Caenorhabditis elegans: one gene and its partner. The protein of the gene in region 1 purifies or fractionates together with the protein of each later gene. This does not show direct contact. Each region holds a gene or a part of one and is shown on either strand. Other genes may lie near its edges. The genes, in order: C36C5.12 and T13F3.6.

Region 1 (16,147 bases):
AATATCTTTTTAAAACGATTGGTGTGATTGTGCTTCGCACGTTTGTTTCATCAAAAATTCAGTTTTGTGTGTTGCTTGAGCCCAACCCTCGCCTACTTAGCCGATCAGAAATGTCAATTTCGGAGCTTTTAGACCAAAAGATCTCAAGATTACACTGTAGCACGTTTTCTTCCACTTCCGCATCCAGCAATTGTGCTTGATGTGCATCAAAAATTGCATTCTGATGCTTTTTTGTAGGCTTCCGTGGAAGGCAGGCGCGGTTCCCGGGCCTGACACCAGTCTCTAATCTGCCCGCCTCAGTCCGCCAAATGAAAACTTGCACAGAGCCACGAAAGCGTTGGAAGAACGCATTCTAACAAGAAAAGTATTTTAGCTCACAACAAGACTTCTAAATGGAGTTAAGAATTTCATGTAAGGTAGGCGCGGTTTGCTGTCTAAGCCTTAGCGTAAGCCTAGTCCTAAGCCTAAGACAGAGCCTGAGCCTATACCTATTTGGAAATTTAGTTGCGATCTTAAATACTATGTATCTTTATTAGAGTATGTTCCTCCAACTCGTGTTTAGTTCCTTGTCAATCCAAAATTTCAAAGTGCAATTTTCGAGAAAAAGATGCCCACCAGAAAGTTCTGACTGCCACCCCCGTGCAATCCAGAAGACAGAAAAACTTGCGATCTTATGTTTTTTGTGTAATCTTGAGATCTTTTGGTCGAAAAGTTCCGGCATTGGGATGTGTGTACATTGGATTTTGTGAAACAAACGTGCGATCCACATTTACACAAAACTCTCTTTAAAGATCTATTTGAAGATCCACGCCAGTTGTCACAGTATCATCATTGAAACATTTATAAACAGGGCAGCACAGTAGGAACCTTCAGTTTCGGCTTTTTTAACAATATTTTTAATAGTAATTTTATTACAGAAAATGATAGGCTTACTCAAGCTCGCCCTCATCGGTACTATGCTATTGGGAGTGGCTCATGGAGCAAGCCTAGCATCGGCAAAGGGTTCAGACTGCACTGTAAAAGATACAAACGCTGCAGTTAGATGTGTTTTGGTGAGTAATTCGTAGTAAAAATGGAGACCCGAAATCTGAGACTGTGCATTTTTAGGCACTACCTGGCCTAAAAAAGTGTTAAAGTCTCAGATTTCGGTACTCCACCTTCTATGATATTTGTTTCTAAATTTCAATTTTAGATTACGAGAGACTTCCTGGGGGAAGTTGACGAGCTCGATATGAACGATAAGGATGAACTGAAAGATTTCAAGAAATCGTGTGATACTGTTCAAAGCTGCTGGAACAATCTTACATGCACCGCAAAAAGCGAAGATGAAAAGAAACAATATGTTGAGAACATCAAAAACTACTGTGATGCTGCGATGTATGTCTACGATGGTTTTTCCAAATGTGGTGATAAGCTGAATGCAAAAAAATCGAAATGTTTTGATGACTGGGACCCAATTCCAAACAAAACTCATTCGGAAAAAGATGCGGCAAAGGTCGAGAAAATTAAAAATGACGCTTGCAAGACATATTTCGGAAAGGATAACTGCATGAAACAGGAGGTTACGGAAACTTGCGGCAAACAAGAATGGGACTCACTCCACAAGGTGAACTTTTATTTTGGCATTACCGAAAAGTTACTAATTCTCTATTTTTCAGCATTTCCTTCATCTTTCTGGAGGACTCGTCAGCAAGTGTGACTTCAGCAGACTTGAATAATTATTATTTTTTCCGCTTGAATAAATTTTTGTAGATTTTGATATTTTAAAGAGAATTTTAATGGATGTTCAAGGGGTAGACTGGAATGTGATAGATCCGGGTTTCTGCCTAAAAAACTTAGAATTACCTGATCTTGAAATAGGACGCCGGTTGAACTCACGGTGAGGAACCCAGAAAGTGTCGGCCGCGGAAAAACCAAAGGTTTTGATTTCACACCAACATTCAGAAAAATGACGAACGGTGACCGTGAAGGCCAGTTTTCTAAATAAATCTTCGTTAGATGTACCGCCTGCGGGCCGCCACTTTGCCGTTTTTTTGCTATTTTTGGCTCACCAATTCGTTATTTTTGCTGTAAATTTTAGGCCAGGTCATGTACCAGAAAACAAATAGCGGCGGTGGAGCACTCTGAACCATAGAAAAGTGGACCAGAAACAGGCTTCAGGTCAAATGTTTACGAAAATCAAATAGTTCTAATAATGACTCATAAAGGTAGAGTTTGTAGGAGTTTGACATAAATAGGTGTACTAAAACTGGCGGAAATCGACAATCTTTTGGCAAGTCAAAATTTTGAAAATAACGAGTAAAATTTTGCTAAAATCATAAAATATTGAGTTATCATGCCACGCTCCAGTTTAAAGGTGGAGTAGCGCCAGTGGGGAAATTGTAAAAAACCACTCCTTTGGTCCTAAAATGACCCAATATCATGATAAAACTTTTCAAAAATTTTTTGAAATTTTTTTATTTACTGTCAAAAAGTGGCAATTGCTCAGTTTTTGCCACTCATAATTTTGGAAGTCGACCAAAAAAAATTTTTTTTTTTTGACATTTTTTATGTTTTAATTTTGTTTAAATTATTTGTATTAGAACATTGTAGGGGTCGAGACATGTGACATTTCTTTAAATTTCCTCAAATGCTCATATTTTTCAAAATTTTGGCACTTTGCCAAAACTTTGACCGGAAATTATGAAAAATCTAAATTTTTTTGGAGTGTTTTATTATGATATTCAGTTGTTTTGGATCATGGGGGGCAGATAGCTCAGTCGGTAGTACACAGTTAAATCGCGGATTATACATTGTGTATAAAAAATGCTTCGCGATGGCACAATTCAAGTACCTCGGAACATAGGCATAATGTACACACAATGTACACATCGCGAACACCTATTCGCGATGTGTACATCATGTGTACATTATGCGTTCATCGCGAACCCACAAATGTGTTCGCGATGTATACATTATGTGTGGCATGAGGAATTTTTTCACAAAAAAAAAAAAACTTTTCACATTTTTCTCACTGGTCATTCCCACTGCCCATTTCGTTTCACTCACACTGATCAGAAATTTCTAACAACCCCACGGACCCGAACCAGCGCACCCTCTACCCTAATGTTTATAAACCCAAGCCGTTACCTGTGAAGCCATCCGCGCACATTTGCATATGAGTTTGCAACGAGTTAAATACTGATTTCATCGCACGAATTTCGTTCAATAGACTTGAAACTAATGCTGTAAGCTTTAAAATGTATCCGACGCTCAACTTGCACCGAAGTTGAAAAAAAAAACTTCGTTTTGGAGAAGAACCTTGAGCAATCGAATCATGGATTGGAATGCAAGGGGCCGTCGCCGCCTCTCAGACAAACGCTTAGTCGTCTAATTAGATTTCAACCAAATATAATGGGGACATAATTAATAGGCTCCCTATTCTAATCCAATATGGATTTTCTAATCAAATATGGCTGAAATCTAATCCATTATGGAACAAATCTATTCCAATATGGATTTTCTAATAAAATTTGGAGCAAATATAATCCAACATGGCATTTCTGGATTGGAATGTCACTCTCCCTCCAATGATCAAACAGAGGAGACAACTCCATTGCTACCCCCCAAACACCACAGAACGGACTCTGTGGGCGTCCCTTGTACTCGAAGAGTATCACACCAAACAATGTTTTGGATAAGGCGAGGAGTGGAGGGAACTCCCCGCCTGTAATCACATCCCTCAGACACGCCAATTTTCTGAAAAGGCTACTGCGCAGGACACACGGAGATGTCGTGATGAACCCGGGTCCCCCGAAAAAGTCATGGCCGTGCCCAGTCTGTGGCAAGAACGCGGCCACGAGCAGTCTCGGCTGCACGAATACCAACTGCGACAAATGGACCCACATCAGATGCTCGAAAGTGAACATGAGAATATATACAGGCACAGGCTTCTACTGCGTGAACTGCGCCGGAACTCACACGAGAGCCGTCACCCCCCGCAGCAGACCACCGACCCTGCCGACCAATTCTGCTATGCGGCTCGCCACGAGGAGCACTCAACAAAGTACCACTACAATGGTTCATCACATGTCTCAATCACCGGCTCTGAAAAATCTACTACACATCAAATTGCCACCAAGCCAGCACGGGTTCAAAAAGCTGCATTCCACGACGACAGCGATCACTGAAACCTTGAACTTTATCACTGGCGGACTAAATGGCAAGAGACCTGCCGAACGGTCAATCCTGATAAGTCTCGATCTGAAGGCCGCTTTCGACACAGTCTGCCACGATAAGCTTTTCGTAGAACTGGCTCAAACAAAAGCTGAGCCGAAATTGATCCGTTGGATTACAGGCTATATACACAAAAGACGCATAAGGACACTGTACGACGGTCGCTGGTCCAGATGGAAAACTCTCCGAGGCGGTGTGCCTCAAGGAGCGGTATCTAGCCCTTCCCTCTTCTCATTCTATACGATAAACACTCCATCCGGAAATGGGACAGAAATCATCCAGTATGCGGACGACACGTCCATTCTCGTTCGGGACAAGTCAATCAATAACGCGGCAGTAACGGCCCAAGCCCATCTGAATGTATTAAGAGACTACTTTAACTTTGTAGAACACCTCAATTTAGGTAGTTGCTCCAAGTTTGGACATTCATTTTACGATCTCAGTCGAATAGTGACCAAAACTAGAGTTGATTGAGCTGACAGACGTATTACTTTCAATGGCTTATAACTCTGGTGGCGTTTGAATTAATAAAATGTGTTCAACTAAAAAGTTGTTGGTAATAATGTGAAAAACATTTTGGTAGTTGGTACCTTTTTGTTATCTTCAATGACTGTGGAGATGTGAGCCCCAAAAGATGACCAAAATATTCTAGATCTGTTCTTAACTATATCTCGGTTCTCGATAAAGATGAAGGGATAATTACAATTACAAAAACGTTCACTGTTTTAAGCTTAACAAGATTATAGTTGGGTACTTTTTGATACCTCGCCTCTAGAAATAGATAAATCTGTTTTAATACAGGAGAGATCATGGTTCAAAGCTCCAAGGAATGTCGGTTTTACTAATCGAGAGCACCGAATTTGGTAAGAAAGTTCATAGATACGACAAAATAAACTTATTTCTACAATACCTAATGAATATTAGATAATATTTGAAAAAAAAATTTTTGACTTTTTCGAAACGAAAATCCAAAGGTTATGAAAAATTTCAAAAAATTTTTTCGAAATTTTTTTTTTTTAACTTTTCAAAATTTGATCAGATGTTATAGAAAAATATAATAGTTGTTAGTTTTTTTTTAGTTTGGATGTTCAGAGGACGACTTCAGATGAAAACCAGGGGTATAGCAGAACTCCTACGTTCAAAAATGGAGTTCACTTTGGATGCTTACATCTTCGTGAACAAAATTTTTATTACCAAGTGATCAACTACAAAGTTGTTTATCTTGATCTACATTACAATATTGCAGTTGATTGTTTTTCATCAAAAAATTTAATAGTCGATATATGAGCAGAAAAAGATAAAGAAAATTCAAGCATGAAGTTGCTGCACTTAACACAACTTTATCTCGACCCTCAAATTTTTTGATAAAAAACGATCAACTACAAAATAGTATTTTAGATTAAAATAAACAACTTTGTAGTTGATCACTTTGTCATAAAAAAAATCCAAAGGGTCCTTACAAAAATTTTCATTTTTTTTCGAACATTTTCTTTTGAAAATTTTTGAAATTTTAATTAGATGTTATAGAAAATAGCAATGTTTGCTGTTTTGTTCAATTTAGATGTTCTGAACACAATTTCAGACAAAAACCTGAGGCAGTATAACCCCTAGGTTTTTTTTGTATTAAAACACCTGTATTAAAACAGATTTATCTATTTCTAGAGGCGAGGTATCAAAAAGTACCCAACTATAATCTTGTTAAGCTTAAAACAGTGAACGTTTTTGTAATTGTAATTATCCCTTCATCTTTATCGAGAACCGAGATATAGTTAAGAACAGATCTAGAATATTTTGGTCATCTTTTGGGGCTCACATCTCCACAGTCATTGAAGATAACAAAAAGGTACCAACTACCAAAATGTTTTTCACATTATTACCAACAACTTTTCAGTTGAACACATTTTATTAATTCAAACGCCACCAGAGTTATAAGCCATTGAAAGTAATACGTCTGTCAGCTCAATCAACTCTAGTTTTGGTCACTATTCGACTGAGATCGTAAAATGAATGTCCAAACTTGGAGCAACTACCTAAATTGAGGTATTCTACAAAGTTAAACACTTTTTGAAAAATTCTTGGAAAAAAATTTTACTCAAAAATTTTTCAACCATAAGGGAGGACCCTTATGATATTTTGAAGCTGGAGAATCTGATAATAAGGGGACCCTCATGATTGTTCGGATTTGAAGATTCAAATCGTACGGGGTACTCTTAAAAGGTAATTGAAAAATTGAGATTTCAATGACAGTTTTTTCCAATTAGTAGGCACCGTTCCACTTGTGACATTGTGAATGCATGATGTATACATCGCGAAAGTTGTCCAATTTTTCGCGATGTACACATTGCGTGCGTTTGCGCTTCGCTAATGCCCGATTTATGCCTCAAAACACACAATGTATACCCCGCGATTTAACTGTGGTGGTGGCCGCTAGCTGTCTGGAGGTCACGAGTTCAAGTCCGGCCTCACCCCCTAGGTTCACCCAGCCTCTATTGGGAAGTGGAGCAATCCACGACTGGATTATCGGCCACAGTCCCCGGCTAGGACGTGGCTTAAATTACAGCCCAGAGGGATCACCACCAGGCAATGTACCTGAATCCCAGATCCGCAGTGCATAGCACTTGAAGAACGGATCGTCCTTTAATCCTTTAATCCTTTAATAAGTGCATTTAGACAAAATCCCTCACTGGAAGTCTACTCGCGAGCTCAAACGCTTTCCTTGATTGAATGAAATGCTCCAACTCTTGTTGGGCTTCTTACTGTCCACTGTCCAACTTGCTATCTTACGTTTTTTTGTGTAATCATGGGACGTCTCGATGTTAAAAATTCCTGGATTGAGTTCCATCAGGATGTTTGTACATTTGATTTTGTGAAACAAACGTGCAATCCACATTCTCTTTAAAGATATATTTGAAGATCTACGCCAGTTGTCACAGTGTTCTGTATCATCTTTTGAAACATTTATAAACAAGGTAGCTCACATCAGTGAAAACTCTCCGGCACAGTTTTTTTCAATTTTCCACTTTTATTGAAAATGTGATTACATTTTTTGTTACAGGAAATGACAAGTTTTCTCAAGCTTGCCATCATTGGTACTGTGCTTTTGGGAGTGGCTCACGGAGCAAATCTAACTGCTGCCGAGAAAGAAACTTATTGTGAGTTGCGATCTGCCATTCAAACATTCCTTTGTATTGAGGTAAGTGAATTTTTTAACAACTTGAAATTTATCTAGTTCTCAAATTTGGAATTTAGCGTCTTCGCGACTTCGCAGCAAAAGTAGATGAACTCGACATGGATAAGAAAAGTGAACTGAAGGAATTCAAGAAAACTTGCGATTCTCTAAAAAATTGTTTTGCCATTACCCGCTGTGGGCCAAATTCCACAATGGACGAAGCAGAGTTGTTCCGAATGGTCGAAAAAAATTGCGAAGCTGTTGTGTACATCCACGAAGATTTTTCCGATTGTAGTGATAAACTTACTGCGAAAAAATCAGTTTGTTTCGACAACTGGGACCCGATTCCAGATGGAATTCATCTAGAAGAAGACGAAAAGAAGGTTGAGAAAATGAAAAAAGAGACTTGCAAGAGATATTTCGGGAAAGATGACTGCATGAAGAAGGAGATTGTCGAAACGTGTAGCCAAAAAGAATGGGATAAATTTCGTGAGGTAAGTAACAAGTAAAGACTTATTTTTTGGAAAATTCATTCATTTTCAGCAGTTCATCAATCTTTCCTCCGATTTGGTTAGCAAGTGTGACTTCAGCAGACTTGGATAATTATAATTCTGATGACAAAATATTAATGAATTAGTTTTGATGCAGGAACATTTTTTAGCAGCAAAATATGCTTTCAGGATTTTTTTCAGAGAGAACAGGATTTATTGCAAAACCAACTTTGATCGTGAGAAAAAATTATCTAGCGGCCAAAAATGTTGGTGGAAAAATTCCATGCAGGCGCCAAAATGCCTGCGGCGACCTCCGCCTGCCTCGTGCCGTGAGCCGTACCGCGAAAAAACCGCCAATCAAGGTATTTTATAAAATATCCTGCTCACTTTGTGACAGAACAACACTTTGGAAAAAGAAGACATCTTCATGAAAACACCTAGTTTCAGTTTTGTGTCACATGGCATTACAAACCTGCCGGATGTCAGAAGCTGTTACTTTTTCGACAATAGAATTATATAAACTAATGTAATTTTTTTTGTTTTTTTGTTTGGTATGGTGTACTCGACTGCAGGTACTAGTACCAATGGCAAAACTACATAGTTATTTCAATTTTTCGATTTGGAGCAACTCCGAAAGTCTGAAACGATTGAATCGGCGCAGAACGTTCCGAATAGAATAACTTTCTGATCGAAATGGTAAAATTTTATTTATCGAATTAAAATCAGAAAGTAAATCAAAATTATAAAGTTATTCAATCAGTTTTGCTGAAGCCGCATTCGCTCAAAATATTGTTGCCGATTCCCACGAAGTGCTGAAATTTAATAAAAATTGTTTTCTCTAAATTCCCCCGGAATACTTACGTCGCGAAGTTTGGCCCAATCGGATTCACCACATGTTTCAGTAACCACCGTCTTCATACAGTTGTCTTCTCCAAAATAATTCTTGCAAGAATCTTCACGCATTTGTTCTTTTTTCTTCTCATCCTTTTCCAGATTGAACTTTCTCTGGAACGGGTCCCAATCTTTGTAACATTTGTTCTCCGCAAGTTTATCACGGCATTCTTCAAAGTCGTTGGCGATATAGGAAACCCCGCTACAATAGTTTTTGATTTTTTTGACCATTTCCTTTTTCTCCTCTGGTGCGATACCCTTTGGTGTACACTGCGGAGTTTCAAAGCAGGTGGGGATAGTTTCGCAGGACTTTGAAAATTTGACTACTTCCGCCTTATCGTCCAGCTCAAGTTTATCAAGATCATCGAAAAACTCGCCTAAACGCTGAAAAAACACTAAATATTACTAAAAAAAGTATTCATATAAAAACAAACCATGATACAGCCAATCGAATGGAATTCAACAGACAGAGTACAATTGACCATGTTTCCCAAAGGTACTAGGTTAACTTTTACACCTTGAACCAAATCCAGGGACAATATACCAATGGTGACTAGTAAGAGGACGAGCTTCATCTCCTGAAAAAACAAACTACATACATAGAGCCGAGCTTGAAAATAAACGAAAAAATAGACAACATGAGATCCTGTCGACTCGAGCCGGGGAACTATTCTGAACAGAGTAGCAACTGTTCATGTCGAAAGGCGGAAAAAAAGTGTGTAACGTTTGAAGGGATAAAGTTCTAAAAGTTTGTTTCGACAGTTGTTGATGATCTTTTGAGAAACATTCATCGGTTTCTTTAAAAACTGAACCAGGAAGTGAAAATTAAGACTCTATCGTAAGTAGTACTAGGAGGAACGGACCCACCGAGCTCCCAGGACTGCTGGCCAGAGAATCTGGAAAAATCTGAAACTTGCCTGAAAATGAGCAATTTTTTTTCTGCTTCCATGCCGAAATTGGGCTGAGACTTATAGTAATTGTAGTAAGAAAAAACATTTGTTACAAGCTACATAAAAAATGTTCAAAATTTTTTAAACATTTATTTTAGTTTTCTTTCAAAAGCAAAATTATTTACAAACCGCATAGTTTTGCATTTTAATTTCAAATTAAAAACATAAATCGAGTAGCAAAAAAGCTGAACTCCAAGTGGTTTGATCTTGTAATTTCCCCTATAACACCACCTGCTGAAAAAGTTAAAAAAAAAACAATTCAGACAAACTATGATTATATAGCAATTTTGAAATTTTAGAATTTAGAATTCGTTCCAAAAAGGCCCAAACTCCCAGGGGGCAAAAAATGAGGGGGCATCGTGTTCTTAGGGGGCATTTACTCCAAGGGGGCATCACTCATAGGGGGCATTAGGGGTCAATGTTCTTAGGGGGCATTTTCAAAAGTCTCAAAGGGGGCAAAGTTTTAAATGAGTATTTGTTAAGGATACGATTTTTAATGATTTGTCAAAAATGGAATTCGGCCTTAAATACTAATTAAACACTTTGAAATGGAAAAATTATGATGTTTTATTTGTCTTGTTTATTAACAATATTTTGAAAAGTGCATTTTTTCGGTGGGCAACTTGTTATATTTGTATCTTTACAGTCATCCAATATAGACAAAAAGTTTAAACTAATAATTTGCTGATTACTATACAGGGTGACGACTTTTCAGTTGACCACTTTTTCTTATATCACACACGAACGGAGCTATAAGATTTTGGAATGTATTATGTCTACATCCCCGCTCTTGACAATTCCATTAATTTTTCGTGAGAGCACATCCAAAATTGTTTAAAAACTATTTTCTGTAGTATCTAAAACTTTTGAACAACTATCTTGGATGACTGTAAAGATACAAATATAACAAGTTGCCCACCGAAAACATACACTTTTCAAAATATTGTTAATAAACAAGACAAATAAAACATCATAATTTTTCCATTTCAAAGTGTTTAATTAGTATTTAAGGCCGAATTCCATTTTTGACAAATCATTAAAAATCGTATCCTTAACAAATACTCATTTAAAACTTTGCCCCCTTTGAGACTTTTGAAAATGCCCCCTAAGAACATTGACCCCTAATGCCCCCTATGAGTGATGCCCCCTTGGAGTAAATGCCCCCTAAGAACACGATGCCCCCTAATTTTTTGCCCCCTGGGAGTTTGGGCCTTCCAAAAAACCAATCACGCAAACAAATTTTGACTCATGTTTCGATGGATGTTTTTATCAAATTTTAAAAGATGAGGTCACAATACTATATTTCATAGTATTATGGCTTTCTGATTCCCAACTCATTAGCACATCTCTCAGAAAAATTTCTATGTGTGCTTTTTTTTTGTTTTCAGCCAAAACTTTTCTACGAGAACTTTTCATGAATCTCAATTTTTTTTTATTTTAAAATATTTAATTTGGAAAAAAATTTATTTTTAGCAATACTTTATGCATTTCAGGAGCATGCATTTATTTAATGCTAGGGCTCCAAAAAAATTTTCCAAATATTTCAGATGACACCATATCAGGAACAATGCAAAATAATGGAATCCCTGTCTTCGTCCATATTCCTCCGATTCACTATAACATTTCAACTTGCATCTAGTCTTTTGGCTTTAACAATGGTTATTGTAGCGAGTTATAGTTTATGGACTGCGCAAGTTGCAAGATTATTCCACGTCAATGTAATAATTATATTTCAAGTTCATTGGTTCGGATTTTTTTTGCATTGCTCGAACAGGTTATAATTTTTGTGATGTTACTATAACTCAACAATTAAAATTCGTAAAACGAATGGTTTAATAATTTTAATAATTTTAGTTTTTTTGGAACTGAAAAAATTCCACAACATTTAAACACTTAATATAAACCTATTAAAAAAGGTATTTCTAATATTACTAGTTTTTGGCAATTCAAATTCCTGGCGGTTCAACAATCCGGCAACCAACAAAAACTAAAATTATCGAAAAAATTTTAAAATTTTCAGGTTTTTACGAGTTGAGAAAGAAAAAATTTACTACAGTAAAAATAGTTTATTACTGCTTTTTGAGTATTTTATTCGAAATTTGTGTTCTCGATAATTGCCAAATTTTTTGACACTCCAAAAGACACGCAAGTGGTCTAAATATGCAATGCATTCCAATTCTGATTCCAGAATAGTGCTTCACACCATTGACCTTCACAACTACCTGATCCTTGACTACTGTGACATGCCTGCAAGCACAACTCGATGTTTTGTGCTCCGCGTTCAATATGTATTTGGCCTATGTTTAGTTGGAGCAACTACAATTCCACTGGTAATTGAAAGATATATTGCAACAATTAAATCGTCAAAATATGAACAAACTGGGTGTGCGTTGGGGATTTATATGGCTATTAAGCAGGTAAACCCAGTTCTTCGAAAATTTTAAAACTTTTTTGAAAAATTTAAGTTTTCAATTGCAACTATGACAACTTATTATGCATTCTTAATATTTCCATTCAAGGAACCTTTTATGCCCTACTGCACAGCTATCAAGCAGGGATTTGTTACTAACGTCGAAGTGATTTTCCATATTATCCTCCTTGCTCAAATAGTTGGAAGAGTTATTTTTCAGTACTTGTTTAACTTGAATGAGGTATGTAGGTGTTCACTAAAAAGGTATAAGCTGTATACTCTAATTTTAGAGGCTCCGGGCAAAACAAATCACATGTTCATTGTCAAATCGATATTCTTTGGAGCAAAACCTAAAGTCTATGAGAACATTGAAACTATTTGCAAATTTACAAACTGGATTTCAAGTTATCCATATTATGTTTTTTCTATTCTTATTGAAATTTGGCGCAGAACTTGAATCTTCTACTTACTTGGCTCTACTTGAATGTGAGTCATAAAATATACGGTGTTATGATGTTTCATGACAATGTATGTATCTGATTTCCTAATTATAGTTGTGTAAGCACACAGTTTTTGTAAAACATCAAATATCTGAAGAAAAAAACATTTCAATTTTGATGAAACAGTAAAACTGAAAAATATAAAGTTTTGGGAAAACAATAATTTTCAGGGAGTGGCTCCTACCCCTTATATGCCATTATTTCAATTGTGGCATTGTTGAAGAAGGCTCAAGTAAACAAAGTTCGGCTGAAAAAGGAGCTGGAAGTCCATATGAGTGCAGACCAGAATAATTATTTTGAGAATTTTAATAAGTCTTGGAATTAAATTTTTTCACAATTTTTGTTATTTAATACGCCAACCCTAACATGTTATTGAAAATTTGAATGAATTGATTTTTTACAAGGAAATATAGTCTTAGCTTGTTTAGTCATGTCAACGTTGTTAAAAATTTTATTAGCATTCTATGAGGTCTATGTGAAAAACAAAGTCACGAAAACAAGAGAATATGGTGATTTATAATGGAAGAAATGATTTTCAATATGCATTTTCATATAATATTTTAAAGACTTTTTATCAATGAATTTTTAAAAAATTAATTTTTTGAAACATGTAAATTGAAACAAATAAAATTTAACTTACTTCACGGTTAAATTATATGACATTTATTGACGTTTTTAGCTTTTCGTGCATTTTTTTTCAAAATTTCAGGTAGGGTTTAGTTTAAATGCTCAAACTATTCCAAAAAATAATCAGGAACATTTTGAAATTTTGAAGAATTTTGTAGCTTTCAGAATTTTGTTTGAAAGTGTGATAACACATTTTGAACTGTGCATTAGCTAAAATTTCTTGGTAAGAATTTAATTTGAAAGGTGGAAAATGACATTTTGGAAAATTAAAACATTTTGGGAGGAACAAAACCCATAAGTACCAATTTTCAAAAAAACAACAAATGCATTTCCCAACAAATACTTTAGAACAACCAATTTTGTCTGTCAAATCCACTGTGCAAAAAGTTAAAGCGGCTGACATTGTGCGGGTACAAACATTACGTTCTCGAGCTACAGACATTCCAAGAAAGTTTTGAAAATTGGACCCGGAAGAGGTCAGACGCTCTAACTCTTTCCGGAGTTAAATTAATAACATGCGGTAACAGCGAACATGTAGACGTAAATAATATCAATATTTTTTATATAAAGTTTTTTGCCAAACTGGTTTTGGGTTAAGCTCACTTGAAAATAAAATAAAAATCAACAAAAACCTAAAAACTGACACAGTTTTTGGCAATCAACGTACATCAAACTCTACTCAGGCGGCTCATATCTCGTTTGTCTTATATTTTATCAAAACATGTTTTACTGTAAAAATTTATAAAAAGACTACGTATATGGCTAGTAAACAATTTTTTGATAAACCCAAAGAGAACCGCGATAAAATCTGATAAATTTGAAACTATTTTTATAGATTTTTTTTGGCTAAAAGTTGTTAAGAAAAGTTTAAATATCTAAAAATATACGTTATATTATTAAAATAAACAACAGTATTTTTTTTAAAGATTTGCTCGTGCTCACTTTTTCTAGAATTACATTTTCAAATTTTCACAGTGTCAGAATACTGAAAACGTAATTGTATAATGACCTTACCCAAAATACTTGCTCAAAACAAATTTTGTGTACTTGTATAGCTGAGACTCCCGAGAAATGTTAATTAGTATGCAAAGGTACTTTATTATCTTAAAGCAACTGAAAGTTATTAGTTTATTTTTTATTACTTTTTATATTTCAATTTATAAAAAAGTTATTGGTATATTTAAAATTTTAAAGACATTTTAAATTTCAGACAATTTAAAATGACATCATACCGGGAACATTGCCAAATGATGGAGCACATTTCTTCCTCCTTATTTCTCCGATGTACTATACTATTTGAGCTGGTCTCTAGTCTTATTGCTGTCCCATTGGTTATTTTTTCTAGCTTCTACATTTGGAAGTCACAAACATCTAAACTATTTCATTTTAATGTGATTATCATATTCCAACTTCATCTGTTTGGTTTTTTTCTGCATTCTTTGAATAGGTAAATTTCAATTTTGAACTGCAAAATTGAACGTGCCCTATCATTGTTTTTTTTGAAAACGGGGAAAAGGTTAAAGAAAAACACAATTTTAAGAGCTTTTTTAAATAAAAATGTGCAGAATTTCTCAGAGAATATTATGCTAGTTGACAAAATTCTGCTAGCTCAGCCTATTTTTGAGTTATAGTCCAAAAAGTGTTGCAAAAAAAAAAACTTAGTTCGCCAATTTGGTCATCGTGCTGAGCTTAAGGACCTAAGAAATACGCTATATAAAACAGTAAAAAGAACATGATTTTTTGTAGAATATTCCTTCATTCCACTGATCTCTACAGCTATACCATGCTTGACTATTGTAACATGCCAGCAAAAACAATGCGATGTTTTGTCTTCCGTGTTCAATATGGATTTGGCCTATGGTTGGTTGGCGCAACTACAGTAGCCCTTGCCATTGAACGATACGTCGCTACAGTCCGCTCTTCAAAATATGAACATTCTAGTTGTTTCCTAGGATTATGTATGGCAATTTTACAAGTAATTTAAATTTTTTTTAAATATTGAAATGTTGAATTGGAATCTTTGCAGTTATCAATTGCCGCAGTAGCAAACTACTATTCTTTTTTAAGTTTCCCATTTTCACAACCTGTTATGAATTACTGTACTGCAGTAAAACCTGGTTTTGTTACCAATATTGAGAAAGCATTTATTGGCTGCTTAATTATTCAAATAGGTGGAAGAATTATTTTTCACTTTTTGTTTAAATTGAATGAGGTGAGTTACCAAATTTTAAATTAGAAAAAGCTTATACATATAAATTTCCTTTACAGGAGCTGAGGGCTAAGGGATTGACCGCAACACTTTCAAACCGATTTTCTCTAGAACAAAATTTGAAATCAATGAAGACACTAAAACTATTCGCAAATATGCAATCGGTTTTTGTTGTCATACATATTGTATTTTTTCTGGTCATTATGCAGTTTGGGGAACAAATGAGTACCTCCACCTATGTCGCGTTCATCGAATGTGAGTTCGAAAATTAGAAAATTTTGAAGCTGAAAGAATAAAAATTTAATGTTTTTCAATACTTCAAGATTTTCAGTGAGCGGATCTTATCCATTATATGCAGTGATCTCCATGGTGATACTCTTCAAAAGAGCAAAGGAGAATAAGGTGAAGATCAAAAAAACATTGCAAAGCCACGTGAATGCGGACCAAAGTATATACTTTGAAAATTTCAAAAAATCTTGGAATTAATTGGACAGTACTGATTCTTTTTATAATACAAAAGTAGTGTAGATAAATGTGATCAATATATTTTTCCTTTAATAAAATTCACAATTTTCATCATTAAAACTAGGGCTCCTATGAGATCGCCACAAAGGCGCCTCCGCCGGCCTCAGCTGTTGCCGCGCGGCCTCACGGCGTCATCCACGCCGCATGTATAGTGAGGCGC
Region 2 (16,062 bases), about 13 Mb from region 1:
CGAACCCTAAAAATTTCGGCAACCGGCAACCAGGTTTTGAAGTTTTGACGTTGGTCAAACATATATTTTTGTTGAAATTATACATATTTTAGAGCGTTTTGGAATAAAGAACAGTCGTTTTTACAGTGAAATGCTATCATTTTTAGGCTCTCTGAATGTTTTTTTCCGAGATAAAAAATGTTTGACATTGATATCGGCAACTGCCGAAGTTGGCGAACGCTATAAACTGCGGCAACCGGCAACTGGGTTTCTGCTTTTTGTAGAAGCATTATCGTGTTTGGTGGGGATAGTATCGAAGGGCTGTAGGACTACTTTAGGGTTACTGTAGGAGTATTGAAATAGTTTTATAGGATTACTGTCGTTTAGAAAAATGTGTGTTCGGGATTGGCGGTTTTGAAGCCAAGGAAATGTAGTGGTACTGATGGGGTACTGAAGGATTACTGTAGTTTTGTAAATTTAGAGTTTTGAGCTGCGTCAAACCTGGATTGCCAAAGCGTAGAACAGTTGACGATGTAGGTTTTTCGTAATTTTGCTCAAAGAAATTGCAACCCTCATTTGCTGTTGTATTTTATAGTAGCAACATGTCCCACAATATGCAATAACAGTAAGTGAGATAATCTGAAATTTGAAGTATTGAAAAAAATTTAGATTACATCTATACTGTACCACAACTAACTGATCAAAACCAATTCCAATTGCGGATCTTTTATTGAGATATTTCACTCCAGTAGTCTCATTTCTCGGCCAAACAAATGCAGCGATATAAACTATATCGTCAATTTTCAAGTCATAAGATTCCAGAATACTATTCTCAACTTCTGCACTAACTTCTGAAGTGGGCCCAAAACATATTGCTACAATAAAGCTCCAGATAATTCCGAATAGTGGAGGAACTAAGAACAATATGCAAACTAACTTTCTAATCATTTCAGTATGTCTGAAATTCGAGGAATTTAGATATTTATCTGACCCTCCAGTTAAGCTTTACCCATAAATCGCCAAATACCTATAGAAGAAGTGAATTCCAAATATTCCCATACAAAATCCATAGCATCCTGAATACACTACCAAAAGCCAATAGTGAACGGAAATGGGAATGTAGGGTTGGTCCCGAATGTTTTTAAAAACTAGTAAAACTGACGAATAAGCGTGATAGGTCTGAAAGTAGGAATAAGAAAACTTAAAAAATTTAGAAATATACCGGTAAGGATATACTATCCATAATTGAGTAAAAAATTTGAAATAAGGAAATATAAATCATCAGATATTTGTAAGATCCAATTTTTTTTGGAGAGAATTTTAGGATTAAATATACCAAAATTGAATTTAAGATCACAGATATAAAAAGTGAAAATTGTTGGATTCGAGTTTGGACTGAAAGCCATGCAATCGACATTGCGCTTGAGAGAACCGACTTCACGAGTATTAACTGGATCTTGAGTAGCAGGAACAATAATGATGATATTTATACTATTAAAACCATTGGGTTTATCCATAGATTTATCCAATGGGGATAACGCATGTCGATAATATGAAGGGCACACAACAAAACAGGGAAGTAACAGGGCAACAGGGCTCCCCTCCGTGCCTACCTACTTGCCTACATTCTTACATGCCTATGGACCTAATTGCGTTTATGTTGATTCTGGAATATCGCATATGGATCAGAAGGCTTTTTTGAGAAGTTTTTTTAGAAGCGGCAGTAGAGCCAACAGAGACAAATAAAATATTTGTATCAATAATTATAAAAATTGCCATCAAAACATGTTTTTTTTTCTGCTATATTCCGGTCTCCAAGGCCTGCAATTTTGCTCAGGTCTCCTCGCAACTTACCAAGCAACCGTCGACATAAAATTCATGCGGCCTCCTGTTTTCCTCTCCCCGCAACATTTTTTTCTGAAGCTACTTCTCCACTGAATTCCAAATTTCTATATTCGAAATGCCCAAAATATCCGATGGTCGTCGGCTATTGCGGAGTACACTTGGACCAGTAGTACTATTAATTTGTGTTGCGGCATTTTATGCAGTACTGATTTATGGTTTTTCCCTGTAAGCTTCTTTTTTTTTTGTTTTTGAAATGCCTGAGACACGTTTTTAACAGATTCGAGTACAACAGTGAATGGAAAGCAGAGCAGAAGAATTTCGAGAAAATCGCCGCTGACGTGGAATTCGAAAAACAGCGACTTCAAACCTCATCAGCCTCGGCTCAAATCTACAGCTCCAAGTATTCATTGGCTTCAAGTGATGTCTACGGTATCATATCTGGATTCCTGAACAAAACTCTTCTGGTCGAGCCTGCGTATACATTCATGTGGTCCAAGTGTTCCACGTAGGCTTATATCTATAAATGTTTAAGAAGATCCAAAAATGTTTAGCTTCATCCGAATGTACCAGCATGCTCTCCAGCTCAACGACGATCACACGCTTGTCTTCTACAAGCCGTCTACTAAAATTATCGATACAGTTTTTCGATCGATTTTTCCCATTTCCACAACATTTGCAGTCGGTTGTAGTGTCTCTGCGCTTCACTCAATCGTCACCAATATCCTGAAAATATGCATTCGGCAGAAAAAATACGAAGCGTGGACTGTTGGGAGGAATAAGATGTTGAGAGTTAATGTGATCGCTTCACTGATTGTGGCTTGCGCCTACTTTGTGCTGAGCTTCTTTTTAAGTGAGTTGGAAGATTGTGATTTCCAGGAAGAAATAATATGAAACTACCAGCCGACTGGCAAAATTTGACATGTTTGACACATAAATCATCAATTGATCCTACAAAAGTATCTCATGGAAAAAGGTGAAAATCTTCACTTTTTGAACACTAAATAGGATTCCCGCCAAAATGTTTTCAAAAAATTAATATTTGAATTCCCGCCAAAATTTTTCACTGCGATGGGTCTCACCACGAAAGGTCTCACCACGAAGGGTCTCACCACGATGGGTCTCACCACGATTGGTCTCACCACGAAAGGTCTCACCACGACGGGTCTCACCACGAAAGGTCTCACCACGATGGGTCTCACCACGATGGGTCTCACCACGAAGGGTCTCACCACGATGGGTCTCACCACGAAAGGTCTCACCACAATGGGTCTCGCCACGAAGGGTCTCACCACGATGGGTCTCACCACGAAGGGTCTCACCACGAAGGGTCTCATCACGAAGGGTCTCACCACGAAGGGTCTCACCACGATGGGTCTCACCATGAAAGGTCTCACCACAATGGGTCTCACCACGATGGGTCTCACCACAATGGGTCTCACCACGATGGGTCTCGCCACGAAGGGTCTCACCACGACGGGTCTCACCACGAAAGGCCTCACCACGATGGGTCTCACCACGAAAGGTCTCACCACGACGGGTCTCACCACGAATGGTCGCTTTTTTTCGAATTTTCCAGAAGGTTCTGGAACATTCCAGAATAATGTTTTCAAAAAATTAAAATTTGAATTCCCGCCAAATGTTTTCAAAAAAATTCCAATTTGAATTCCCGCCAAAATGTTTTCAAAAATTAAAATTTGAATTCCCGCCAAAATTTTTTCAAAAATTAAAATTTGAATTCCCGCCAAAATGTTTTCAAAAATTGAAATTTGAATTCCCGCCAAAATGTTTTCAAAAATTAAAATTTGAATTCCCATCAAGATGTTTTTGAAAAGTGTTGAGTGGTTTATCGCGTACCTCGATCGATGTCGGGTGCGTATTCATCATAAGTAGCCTCAAAATTTTCTAAAATAATTTCCAGCGCTGAATGTTGTGACGTCATTTGTGACGTCAGAGACATACGGAATAGCGCTTTATATATAGTAATGATTTTCAGCTACCATCTCCGCCTCACGCTGGCAAGACGTCTCGTTTACCGATGGAATCAAGATCACACTGAATTTGATTGCAACCGTACCACCAAGTGTTCAATTGGTACGATTATAGAGCAAGATTTGTATTTGGTTTTTTAGGGTGAGAATGAGGCAGGCAGAGGGCGTAGGCATCAAAACCTGATGCGACCTTGTAAGTAGGCATGGTGTCCATCTAGATAGATAGGCAAGTGCAGGCAGGTAACAAATAGTATTTTCAAACACAGCCTACCTGTACGAGTGCGTACCCCTGCTTTACAACTGTCTAACTACGTGCTTGCGTTATGTCTACCTGCCTACCTGTGTATCAACATCATAACATTCTACCGACTTTCGAACCTTTAAATGCTCACGTACGCACATGCCTGCCTACCTACCATGCCTGCCTGCCTACCTACAATTGTGCATACCCATGCCACATTATACCTGTCCATTGATTGTTTTGAGCCTACCTGCTTACCTATCATCATGCTTGCCTATCTATTTTGTTTCCAGAAATTGATAACAGACGCGCACACCCTGACAGCCTTCTGCTTTGTAATTCACACCGCCACCGCCTACGTCATCTTCGCCCTCATCCAATTCATCAAGACGTGGAGAATTTCCGAATTCGCGATTCCCCTTATCTCGGACATTGATCAAGCGGATCAAGTGGACAAGGATATGCAAGTACAGTACAGATCGAAAAATGAGCTTTTCAAGAACAACCAGCCAATGGGAGAGAAGGCGGAATAACTTTTTTGTGATGTGATCTGGAATTCAGCTAATGAAGCTATTTGTTAATATATTTATCTTGGACTGTACATAGTTGAAATTCTGCTCAAAATTGCATAAAGTCCGCAATTAATGTATACTTCGATGGGTGGAGAAGCCCACCCCAAATTTTCATCAATCTTTACTTTTTCAAAATACCACATACATTGCAAAAAAAGAGTTCACAGATAATCCAGATCTTCCCATTACTCCTTATCATCATCCTTCTTCTTCTTCTTCTTGCTATCGTCCCAATCACTCGCCACATCCTCCATAGTCGGATAGTCCGTCCTCTTCTTCTTGACTCCATCAGCGATTGCTTGCTCTTTGTCCGTGTACTTTTGCTCTTGTGGCACGATTTCCTCCTTCTTGGGCTTCTCGTCCTCCTTCTTCTCTTCTTTTTTCTTTTCATTATCCTCTTTGTTTTCATCATCTTCCTTCTTTTCTCCATCCTTCTTTTTCTCATCTCGTTTTGAATCATCTTTCTTCTCCTCCTCCTTCACTTCCTCCTTCTTCTCCTCTTCCTTCTTCTCCTCTTTTTTCTTCTCCTCTTCCTTCTTTTCCTCTTCCTTCTTCGGCTCATCCTTCTTCTCTGCTTCCTTGTTTTCCTCCGGTTTCTTCTCCACCTTTTCCTCTTTTTTCTTCTCCTCAGGCGCTGGATTTCCAATGTTCACATTGTTCGTGGTGAGACCAGTCGTTGTCGTCATCTTCACTGTTGACATCTCACGGACTTTTGCCTTTGGCTTGGCTTTGCCCTTCTTCTTACACAAATGGAGAGATGCTGAAAATGTTTTTTCAATTGGCGAAAATAATTGAATCGTTCAACTTTTTCGGACTTAACGGGACCCATAATATGAAGCTCCCTATTTGGCGATGGAGCGCATTTTCACTTCAATTTCAAAAGGATTTGCTTAAAAAACCCGCACTTTGTAGGCTGCACAAAAGCAACTCACCAGTCAATACAGACATCCATATGATCAATTGTAGAAGCTGTGGAAACCAGATTAAATCTGAAACCGAATTATTGATTGAAATTTTGCGAAAAATTTCCAACTCACTGATCATTTCAATAATTGGCAATCGGGGATTTGAATTCCGGTCCAACAGAATCTTGCTGTACAAATCCAGTATTGATTTATTTTTGTAAAACTAATTTCGTCGGCTGCCCCTATGTTCCACTGCCCTATTTCTTCACGTTAACACTAATATTTAATATTTGAAAATTGATATTTAAAAGTTTCCGTGAAAAAAACATTTTAATTTTAAAGTTTAAATTTTATTGATTGTGAGAGAGATAAATTTTGAAGAAATTGCTTTATTGGGACACTGTTTGATACGATTTCGATCAACTATCAAACTTTAACTTTCAATCTTCAATCGAACTGCGAACACTTATCAGACATTACACAAAATCTAGTTTCAAAAAATTGTGTTGATCAGTAGATGATAGCAGTATAAAATGGGTCTCCACCATTTGTAAAATGAAAAATAAACCATGATTTCTTTTGGTTTTATCTTGGTAATTGGTCTTCCAATTTTTGCGACAGCAGCTACAATGGATGATTGTAAAACTGTAAGTATGCCTAATACTAATAGTGAGATTTTTTGTAAATTCATTAAATTTTTAGATTGGTCTAGGCTTGGAGCCAATCATCAAGTCGATAAATGTTACAGACCGATTTTTCTGGCCACCGGAGACATACAAAGCTTACGCAGATAAATGTGAAGAAATTATAGTAATATTTTTTCAAAAATTAAGAACGGAACAATGGCAAAATTTCAGAATTGTGTAAAATCGGTGGACGCTTCCCTACTAGACAAGTTCTCAACCAAAGTGAGCCCTTGCCTATTCTATATTTTCTACAATCGCGACTTCTCAAATTGCGCCAAAAAGCTGATCGCGAAGAAAGATGACAATATTTCATGCCTCAACACACTTTTCAATGATGTTCACGAGGTATGCAAAACTGTAATCATGCAGGCTCCGAGACGCCTGCAGCGCCTGCCTCGCCTTCCTTCGCCTGCCTCACACCGCAATCCGCGTCCTATAGTGCTGCGCGGAGCTCAAAAAGTGTCGAGCGCGAACTTTTGTTTCAAGCAAGAATGCAGAATTGAGGTGTGAAGCCGGCAGGTTTTTGGGCCTGTAACCGCGCCTGTCTACCATGAAAGCTCATACTTTTTAATTTCAAATATTCGATTGTTCTCACAAAATTGAAATTTTCAGCCAGAAGTAGATGAGTGCGATCAATGGGACAGTCTTCAACCATGCATTAAGGAAAATATCGCAAATTTGTGTGATGACCAATCAGGAAAAATTCAGGAACAATATGTAAAACAAACCGCTAATTTAAGACCAGAATTTTGTGACTAATAGTAAAATGTTGAATAAAACTATTTTAGATTTCAAATAAGTTTTCCGCGCATTTTGCGCTTTATTATTTATTCGTTTTTTTTATTGATATACCAGCCGTTCGCACGCGCAAGGCGCGTGCTCCGACTGGCGTACGCTAAATTGTTTTAATAAATTTTAAAGTGCTAATGTAACATTTTTGTACAGTCATACATTTTCCTGGAGTTTTGCGGACTTTCAAGAAATTCTAGGACTTTCAAGATTTTTTTCAAATTTTTTAAGCGCTTTGAGATTCTAACTACAAAAATTTTCTAGGTGCCGGAAGCTTCCAGTTCAATCAAAAAAACTGGCTTTCAGGCATAAAAATGGCCGAATTTTTATTGGAGATTAAAAATCAATATCCCTTCATAAGCCAAAACAACGCAGACTACAAAGACTACATAGACTACAAACTATGCACTGTATTTTTAAATATATAAGTATTGATAACTCAACCTATGACTCTTTAGACATTAAATAGACTTACTACTGATTCGAAATCTACAAGACAAAAAAATAAGAGAGAGAGAGAGAGAAAACAAACAGACAAACAGTTTTTCACTTGGAGTACTCGTTCTCTGCCAACAAACTTGACGCGTCTAAGTCTCTCAACAACAAATACGATATTTTTTTTCACTAACCCTCTACATTAACGAACAACTTTTGCCGAAGATACATTATGTATTACGAAACTTTAAATTTTAATTCAGTCTGCATACTTTTTGTATTCATCTGGTGATTTTCAGCAATTATTCTGAAAATTTAATGCGTTCAATAATGTCCAACAACCAAAAGCATCCGACTTTGCTCAATATGCCTCTGGAAGTCGCTAACCAAATTTTGGAGAAACTTGAGCCCATATATCAGTGAGTCATTTTTGTGTCCCAAAAGTGGTGCAATATAATTTAAGATTGATTTTCTAGAAATTGAAGTTTTCTGTAACATTCTTTTTACTGATGGAACTATTGAAATATAGGCGGCAGAGGGAGTGTAACAAAAAGTAACAAAAAAAGTAATTAAAAGAGAAATCTGAAAATGCTGCTAATTAAATTTAAAAAAAAATCATGTTCTATAAACCAATTTTCAACTATCGGCGAAAATTCTTATATTCCAGACTGACATCCCGAAAAGTGTGCAAATGTTTGAAAACGTCGGTGGATAAGCTGGGAACTCATTTTTATTCCATCACCTTCCATATTTTGTCTAGAGAAGCACACATTCAATTGAACGGAACAGAAATCAAATACATTGATGCTCCAAATGCCAGTACATATGTAATTTACAACGAACAAAAAAAGATTATTCAAGGCGAAAACTTCATCAACTTAGCCTTCAATGATTTGCAACTTTTATTAAAGAATCCTATATCAAAATTTGAATTTCTCGAAGACAAAAGTATTCAAGACAATGGGCTACGTCTTCTAGACGTTATGAAACAAAACGGTAGGGTTCATCTCAAGAGTATCAAGTTTTCTCATTGCTCAATCGACGACGTACTGCCAATTTTTCCATATTTGAATGCTCAAGTTGTAGAAGAAATCGAATTGTATTTTTTCAAATCAGCTGACGGATTTGATAGGATTAGAGATTTGGATCAATGGAAAAACGCAAAAAGCTTTACATATTATAGCTTAGTCCCGATGGAAAACAATCAAACTATGCATATGTTTCATTTTGAGCACTTCACGCTCACATTGGATAAGTTTTTGCTACAAGACGCAATTCAAATTCGAGATGTAAGTTTATGCAATACATAGTGTTTTGTTTCTTCTGCAAAAACGCATTTCAGAACGTTCTGAACAGAAGTACATTTGAGATTTGCAATATCAATTTTCGAGCATCAAACGCAACCCCATCGGAAATCGCAAAAGTATTCAAATCGGATTACACAGACGATGATGGTGACTTTTTGTGGACAAACGATTGTAAAACATGGTTAATTTGCAGTCACCATGAATTTTTTTCTTGTTCCGAAACTTAATGAACATTTAGTTTTTCATACTCGTAATTTGTTCCATTCCTCGCATACCCCTTCCCTCGTTTGTAACCTAGTGCAACATGAATTGTTTTTTAGCCTTCAAAAAAATCTAATTTTTTTTGAAATACGAAAAATATCAAGTTTGGAATGAAAGAAAAAGTAGCGTAAAAAACATACAACTTCAATTATGAAAATTGTCAAAGAGTATATATTTTTCTACTGAACCATTTTTGCTACTTTTGTTCCAATACCACGCAATTTTTTTTAAAAATTAGCTCAGTTTTTTCTAGATTGATGAATAAGCAAATATACATTTTTAAAAATTGATAAATAATTTTCTGTGACTGAACAGTAGTTCAATGAAAAACCAATCAACAAAAAGTTATAAAAAAAACCGCCAAGAAACACAAGTTTACCTTAAAAAAATGTTCAAATTTATCATTTTCCGTTTGATTAACTTTAAAACTTCAACTTCTAATCTCCAGCCAAACGTTTACGCTTGCAGTTACTCTTGATGACTGTAATAATGTGAGTTTGTATGAAATTGAAATGCTCATAAATGAATGAAATTCCAGATTGCTTCAGACTTGGACCCGATAGTCAAATCAATAAACGTTACCAATCGGTATTTCTGGCCACCAGAGATATACGAAGGTTACGCTGATAAATGTGAAGAAATTATAGTGAATTTTTATTTCAAAAACAGAAAAATATGACTAAAATTAATTTTTCAGAACTGTCTAGAAGCGGTGGGTTCTTCACACTTGAAAAGTTTGACGACCAAAATTCGCCCTTGCCTGTTTTATATTTTCTACAATCGCGAATTTTCAACATGTGCTGAAAAGCTGATAGCCAAGAAAGACGACAATATTCCATGTCTCAACACACTTTTCAATGATATTCACGAGGTGAGCAAACGTTTTTTTGTAAAAAAGTGTAGTTTATTGAATTTTTCAAATGTCTAATTTTTAATTTAAAAAACATAATTACAAATTTATATACATATTCATATTTCTAACTTATTTACAGTTTGGGATCTTCCAAAACATTTTTACCCCAAGTGTTTTACCAGTTACACTTTTTCCCCGTTCCCCGATCCTTCCAAAAGTTTCCCGAGAACTACTGATTTTCGAGATTTCTCTAGTTTCCCATAAACGTTTTAGAAGTTTCTGGAAGTTTATTTTTCCAGCAAAGTTTTTCAAAACATATGAGCTTTATGTTAAACACTACTTTTTAGAAAGCTGAAATTTTCAGCCAAAGTGTTTTTTTAGAAAATTGAAATTTCCCGCAATTTTTTCGATAATTTCAGCCGGAAGTAGATGTATGCGATCAATGGGACAACCTTCAACCATGTATCAAGGAAAATATCAAAAAATTGTGTGATGACAAATCGGGAAAAATCCAGGAAGAATATGTGAAGCAGGCCACAAATTTAAGACCAGAATTTTGTAACGATTATCAGAGAATGATAATCGCAATTTTCATGCTGTGTTTATTTTTTATCTGCTTTTTTGTTGTGCTAGTACCTCGATTCACGCGCCGAAAAATGTTTCAGGTTTGTGCTGAAAAATGAATCTTTGAGTAAGTAAAATAATAAATAGCAAATTATTACATGAAATTTGTGTTAATTGTTTTCCAATAATTATAGCGAAATCTGAATTAAAATTTCTATCTATTTCATCGTTTAAAAACTTATTTAACGAATTTTATGTACTGTCATGTCAGAGTATCAGAAAGATTTTCAGAGGTCATGAGACATAGACTTCATATTGAAAGAGGTTCTGGATGCCTTTCAACGATAAAAATGTTCAAGAACAAATACAATAACTGTTGAATGTTTTAAGTACCGAAGGAAATCATTATTTTTTGAAAATAATTATATTCCTATTTACTATGTACTTCCCTGGCAAACATCTGCTAATTGTAGGATTTGAAAAACTTAAAAAAATATTTTAAAACATTCAAACACAATGTTATAGAAAAAACGAATTTATTATTCCGGAAGGATTTTCATTGCTTTGAAAACACTTCCAATTAAAAAAAAATTAACAAGTTTTCCATGAAATGTTTCTAAATCATTAATTTTTGTGAACTAGATGTCTCAAACCTCCGCACCTCGGTCAGAGATTATATATATATATATATGTATATATTTATTCAAAACGTCGTAACAAAACAGAAAAGTGTAGAATAATCACCGGGAGAAACAAACTTGAATAATTTGAATGATCCTTTAAACCAGAAGTAGTTAAGGGGATCAAGTTGGGTGGGAAAAATAATTAAACGGGATAGAATTTAATCGTGAAGCAAACATTTGACGGCTCATTGTCTCCGGAAGTAACTTGGCCATACGGTTCCATAGGTGAAGATTGACTAGTAGGAAGCTTTCGTTGATTGATCCACAAGGGCACATCATGTACGGATATCTGGGCGAGCGAGCCTTCCTCCCAGTTGATGCGGCATTTGGAAAGTGGTATTCACCAGACAGGATGTTGTGATAGGTCCTCAATAATGCCCTGATGCTGACAGAAAACCATCACTTTCGTGTCACTTGGTAAGCTCACTCAAAATTAAAAAAAAAAATAATTTCAGTTTGACTTTTTCTAGTTTGAAGTTCTCTTATGCAGCTGAAGTTTTGTAGTTAATTGACAAATTAATTCAAACATTTTTTCTTGTTAGATTGCATTGACGAACAAACGAATTAATTTACAGAACTTACTCTCCTTCCAAATGAAATTCGAAACTCTCGATTTTAATGATGAAAAAGATATCAAGAATTTCAAGACAGATTGCGGTGATCTACAAGATTGCTTTACAGCTCTTCCATGTAGGCCAGGCTCCAATAACCAGCTAGACAAAAGGCTTCGTTCAATTGAATGGGTGTGCAAAGCTATTGTGTTCCTCACCGAAGATTTTTCTAATTGTTTTGACAAATTGCATGAAAAAAATGCAGAATGTGTTCAAAACTGGAATCCATTGCCAAATGAAATATATTTAGAAGATGACAAGATGAAAGTTGAGAAAATGAAAGAAAATGCTTGTGATACATATTTCGGAAAAGATGACTGCGTTAAAAAGGAAATTATTGAAAGATGCGGCCAAGAAGAATGGAATACGTTTCGTAAGGTACCTAATTAGGAAAAAAGTTGTTCTTCCTCTGAAAAAGTGTGCTCATTTTCAGAAAATGATAAAGCTATCTGAAGATGTTGTTGGCAAGTGCGACTTCAGCAGACTTGAATAAACGATTGGATGTCGACTGAAATTAAATAAATTTGTTTTAATGCATAAACATCAAAATAACTAAATTTAGTGTCATTTTACTAATTTTTCGACAAAATCACTAGTTTTGGCCAAAATTATATTGTCAAATTTTTGATGTGTGCGGAAAATTTGGCAAGTTTCACGAGCTTCGACAAATTTGTCAAACAAATTTGTCTAAAACGTACAATTTCAACTAGTCAGCTGTGGGAAATATTTACTTTGTATTTTCCACAGTAATTCAAAGGATCACAGATTGCGCCGTGAGCTAGTCTAAATCCGACTAAATGTTTTGTAAAGTGTAGGTGAAAAGTAACTGTATGCTGATGAAAAAGACAAAGACAAAAAGTCAAGAATTTCATTAACTTAAGAAATGTTCTAACCAAAGTTGTTCAACTTACACGTTTTCTTGGAATACTTAGCCGATCCGTTCTTCACCTAACCCAAAGTTCCAAAATTTTCGATTTTTTGATTCGTGAATTCTGAAAACGCTTAAAATTTGAAACAAGTCCCGAAAAATTATTTTCAAAAAAATTCATTTTAAGTCAGATATTAATTTTTCAATAATGAAAACTAAATAAATCTCCCAATTAAAAAATGTAGTCATTTATATGTCTGAAGGTCAGTTTTTTTTTGATTGAACTGAAAGCTTCTGGCACCTAGAAAAATTTTTTGATTAAATTCTCAAAGCGCTTAAAGAATTTTCTAAAAAGTCCTGGAAAGGTCTACAACTTTTTAAAGAAAAATCTGGAAAGTTTTAAAATTTTCTTAAAAGTCCGCAAAACTCCAAGGAAATGTGTAACTGTACAAAAATTTTACATTAGCACTTTAAAATTTATTTGAGCAATTTAGTGTGCGCCAGTCGGAGCACGCGCTTTGCGCGGCTGGTTTTTCTATATGGAAAATCAAGATTTTTAGTGAAATTATTTAAAACTCAGGGACCCTATAGAAAACGTGCGTCCTAGTTTTTTAATCATGAGTTGGTTGCTTTCAATTTTTATGGTAATTCACGAAACCTCGAGAGGACAGGTTTTTCTTTGGAAAAATGCCCTTTCAAGGTTGTGCGCCTAGTCGAAATCTAGATCGGCCATATGATTAAACATCTGTTCCAAAAATTTTCGATTTTAGATTAAGCATTACATTCAGTTAATTATTGTTGAATAAAATGATAGACAAAGATAAATAAGATTAATAAAAATTATTCTGCACAATCTGAACAATATCCATCATTTTCTCAATCCGAAAAGCGTAATTTTCCAGTTTCAGCTCTCGCACGTAATATTCATGAAGATCCTTGGATAGTTGCTCGGTGAAATGTTCCCCCTTTTCCAGAGAATTTCCAGAAAGTAATTGTTCTAAATAAAACAATTCTTAATTTTTTTCGGAAACGTTCTGCAAGTCTCACCTGCTACACTCCAAACTATTTGCCACTGCATATACGAAATTTCAATTTCAGTCGGCTTCCAATTTATGAAATGTAGTGCTAATTCATCAAATATTACTGAAAATGACAATTCCAGCTTCTTCTTAATCGATTCACTTTTCTTCGGGCTTGCTGTCTTTAAAGAGTTTTCAAATGCAGTGATAAGGCGAATTGCAGTGTTGTCCGAGATGAAAACTATCTGCAAATTTGTTTTTCTGAGAAATGGTGATCTAGGGAAACATAGTTGTATAACCCTAATATTAGAAAAAAAAATTTTTAATTGTTGAATTAAAATCAATTTTACCTTTTCATCAATAACTTTGTTTCCGAAAATTTCAAGTGATCTACTCAAAAATTCGAGAACTGTCCATCCATGCCACAACCTTTCCAAAATTACTACTTTTTCATTTTCCTCAAGCTTCTGGAAAAACGAAGAAAAAAGTAGCCATGTAGCACATGAACCGATAACTTTAAATTGTACATCTTTCAAGCTTTCTGAATCCATTTCATCGATTATCTAAAATAAATTGGAAATATAAACTTTGATTTTGAAAGAAAACATTTCACCTTTATGCACTCCCTCTCTTGATTTCTCCTGATAAACTGCAGACCTTCCGTGAGTTTTTCCAACTTTGAACAGCCTTCTGAAGCATTATGTGGATTCTGGAAATAACAATTGTCGGCAAGTTTTAAACATAATTATAAACTTACAAATTGTTTGAAAAGACCTCGAATGTCTTTAATCAAAATTCCGTCATCATGCAGTACATCACTAGGGATACAATTATTCTGGTCAGTTGGAGTGGGGGAAGAATCTAGATCGCGATTCTTTTGAATTTCTGAAAGCTAGGTTTAAAACTAGCCGCCGATACATTTATTTTTTTAAATGTTTTATCGTTGTTGAATTGAAAAATTAAAAATTGTTTGAAAAATTTTAAGTTGCAGGTAAAATTGGCATTTACACATTTCTTATCTGCTACAACTTTTTTTGAAAATTTGACGCTTACGCCCACTCACTTTCAGCCTTCATCCCTGCTTTTACACACTTGCTGAATCGGCAGTACCTACAGAAATGCCTGTCCAAGTATCTAATTTGACAGCGCTTTTTTCCGTCCTTGCATTGATACTTTATTTTGGAAACGACAGATCTTCTGAAAAAGCACACAATTTTTTTTTGAAATTTTTTGAGGAAAGTGAATTTTGTATCTCTTCCACCAATGTGCACTAATATCTATTTTTTATATCTTACCTAAAAAACGATGCGCACGCTCCGCAAGATAAAACTTCAAAATGGTATCCGTTTGATTGATTTTTGCACACTTCGCAGGGAATTGAAAGTTCCGGAGAAAAAGTAATCTTCATGTTTTGTGAAACAGAGACAAATTTGGAAATTCGAAGAACGCCAAAAGTCAGATAATGTCGAAAGATTTTTAAAAGGTAGGCGGAATATACATGAATACCAGAATAACCATTTTATCGCTCCAAGCATCTTTGACCTTATGCAGAGAGAAAATGGCGGCGCATAGAAAAGTCATGGAGATGTGTGGAAATGATCACGGGCCAATAGGCCGGTCCCTGAAAAGGAACACACTTTTATTTGAAATCTTGAATTTCAAATTTTCGAAATATTGTTCAAATTGTATATTTTAGCAATGTTGTTATAAATGCTGGCTATTGATTGAAACTTTGACTCGAAATTAGAAAAAAATTTCACAATTTTGCTTTTTTTTCTGTGCATTTAAGTTCTGTTATAAGTGTCTGTTTCGGTTGAAAATTTCAAACATGAAACATTCTCCAGTATGTTATCCATCTCAAGAAACGTTGGCGTTCCTGACACCAAAAGTTTTATCGTACTACCGATCGTCTAGCTTTCCGAATTTCAAAGTACTTGGCGGTCCAGTCTTCATGTTTGAGCCTTTTGACCGATCAGTGAGTGTACGGCTCATTTCACTTTCTATCCAGTCAGCGCAGTCATAGACGCAAGACGACGATACCGAACGGGAAATGTCCTGAAAGCAATTTTCAGACGTTAAGTTACGGGAGTATGCACTTCAGGGGTGTGCGGCAAATCTCAAAATTTGTCGAGCTTGGCAAATTCGGAAAATCTCTTTTTCCAATATTTCCCGAGCACGGCAAATTTGGCTCATTTTCCGAGCTCTGTAAAATTTATTATTTTTAAAGGTTTTTTGGATAACCAGAACTACAAATTTGGTAAATCTACTTTTTGGAAATTGGCTACACACACCTGATGCAAATAAAAAAAATTGGCCTCAACGCTGAGGGGATATTTTTCGATAAAATCTCAGTTGGGCGGTATAACCAATTAGAATGGTCCGACATCTACCGGGTTATGTGTCGCCCCCGCAAAGACTTAAAGGAAATGTCCGGCCATGCGTCGCCGACCATATTA

Evidence for each region.
Region 2: the proteins of C36C5.12 (region 1) and T13F3.6 fractionate together in Caenorhabditis elegans (co-fractionation; one large-scale study listed by BioGRID). This does not show direct contact.

Annotation. Positions count from the first base shown.
Region 1 is NC_003283.11:3,150,289-3,166,435, reverse strand, and holds C36C5.12 (UPF0376 protein C36C5.12), read left to right. Parts: upstream 1-7,270; 5' UTR 7,271-7,273; coding exon 7,274-7,408; intron 7,409-7,464; coding exon 7,465-7,878; intron 7,879-7,927; coding exon 7,928-7,987; 3' UTR 7,988-8,030; downstream 8,031-16,147. Other genes in the region: C36C5.14 (T20D4.11-like domain-containing protein), read left to right, coding at 921-1,052, 1,193-1,606, 1,659-1,718; exh-1 (T20D4.11-like domain-containing protein), read right to left, coding at 8,628-8,687, 8,737-9,150, 9,201-9,341; srab-7 (Serpentine Receptor, class AB (Class A-like)), read left to right, coding at 11,264-11,490, 11,905-12,133, 12,182-12,367, 12,417-12,612, 12,797-12,951; srab-6 (Serpentine Receptor, class AB (Class A-like)), read left to right, coding at 14,474-14,700, 15,000-15,228, 15,280-15,465, 15,522-15,717, 15,794-15,948.
Region 2 is NC_003283.11:16,261,247-16,277,308, reverse strand, and holds T13F3.6 (T20D4.11-like domain-containing protein), read left to right. Parts: upstream 1-6,087; 5' UTR 6,088-6,099; coding exon 6,100-6,177; exon of another isoform or gene 6,178-6,232; coding exon 6,233-6,340; exon of another isoform or gene 6,341-6,387; coding exon 6,388-6,561; exon of another isoform or gene 6,562-6,828; coding exon 6,829-6,975; 3' UTR 6,976-7,009; downstream 7,010-16,062. Other genes in the region: pacl-1 (Polycystin-Associated Channel-Like), read left to right, coding at 1,940-2,049, 2,102-2,329, 2,376-2,674, 3,818-3,915, 4,347-4,586; T13F3.8 (uncharacterized protein), read right to left, coding at 4,811-5,385, 5,558-5,614, 5,663-5,669; fbxa-2 (F-box domain-containing protein), read left to right, coding at 7,771-7,859, 8,108-8,729, 8,783-8,974; T13F3.4 (T20D4.11-like domain-containing protein), read left to right, coding at 11,702-12,097, 12,153-12,212; Nuclear hormone receptor family member nhr-127, read right to left, coding at 13,418-13,584, 13,635-13,851, 13,957-14,169, 14,220-14,315, 14,364-14,491, 14,670-14,803, 14,902-15,014.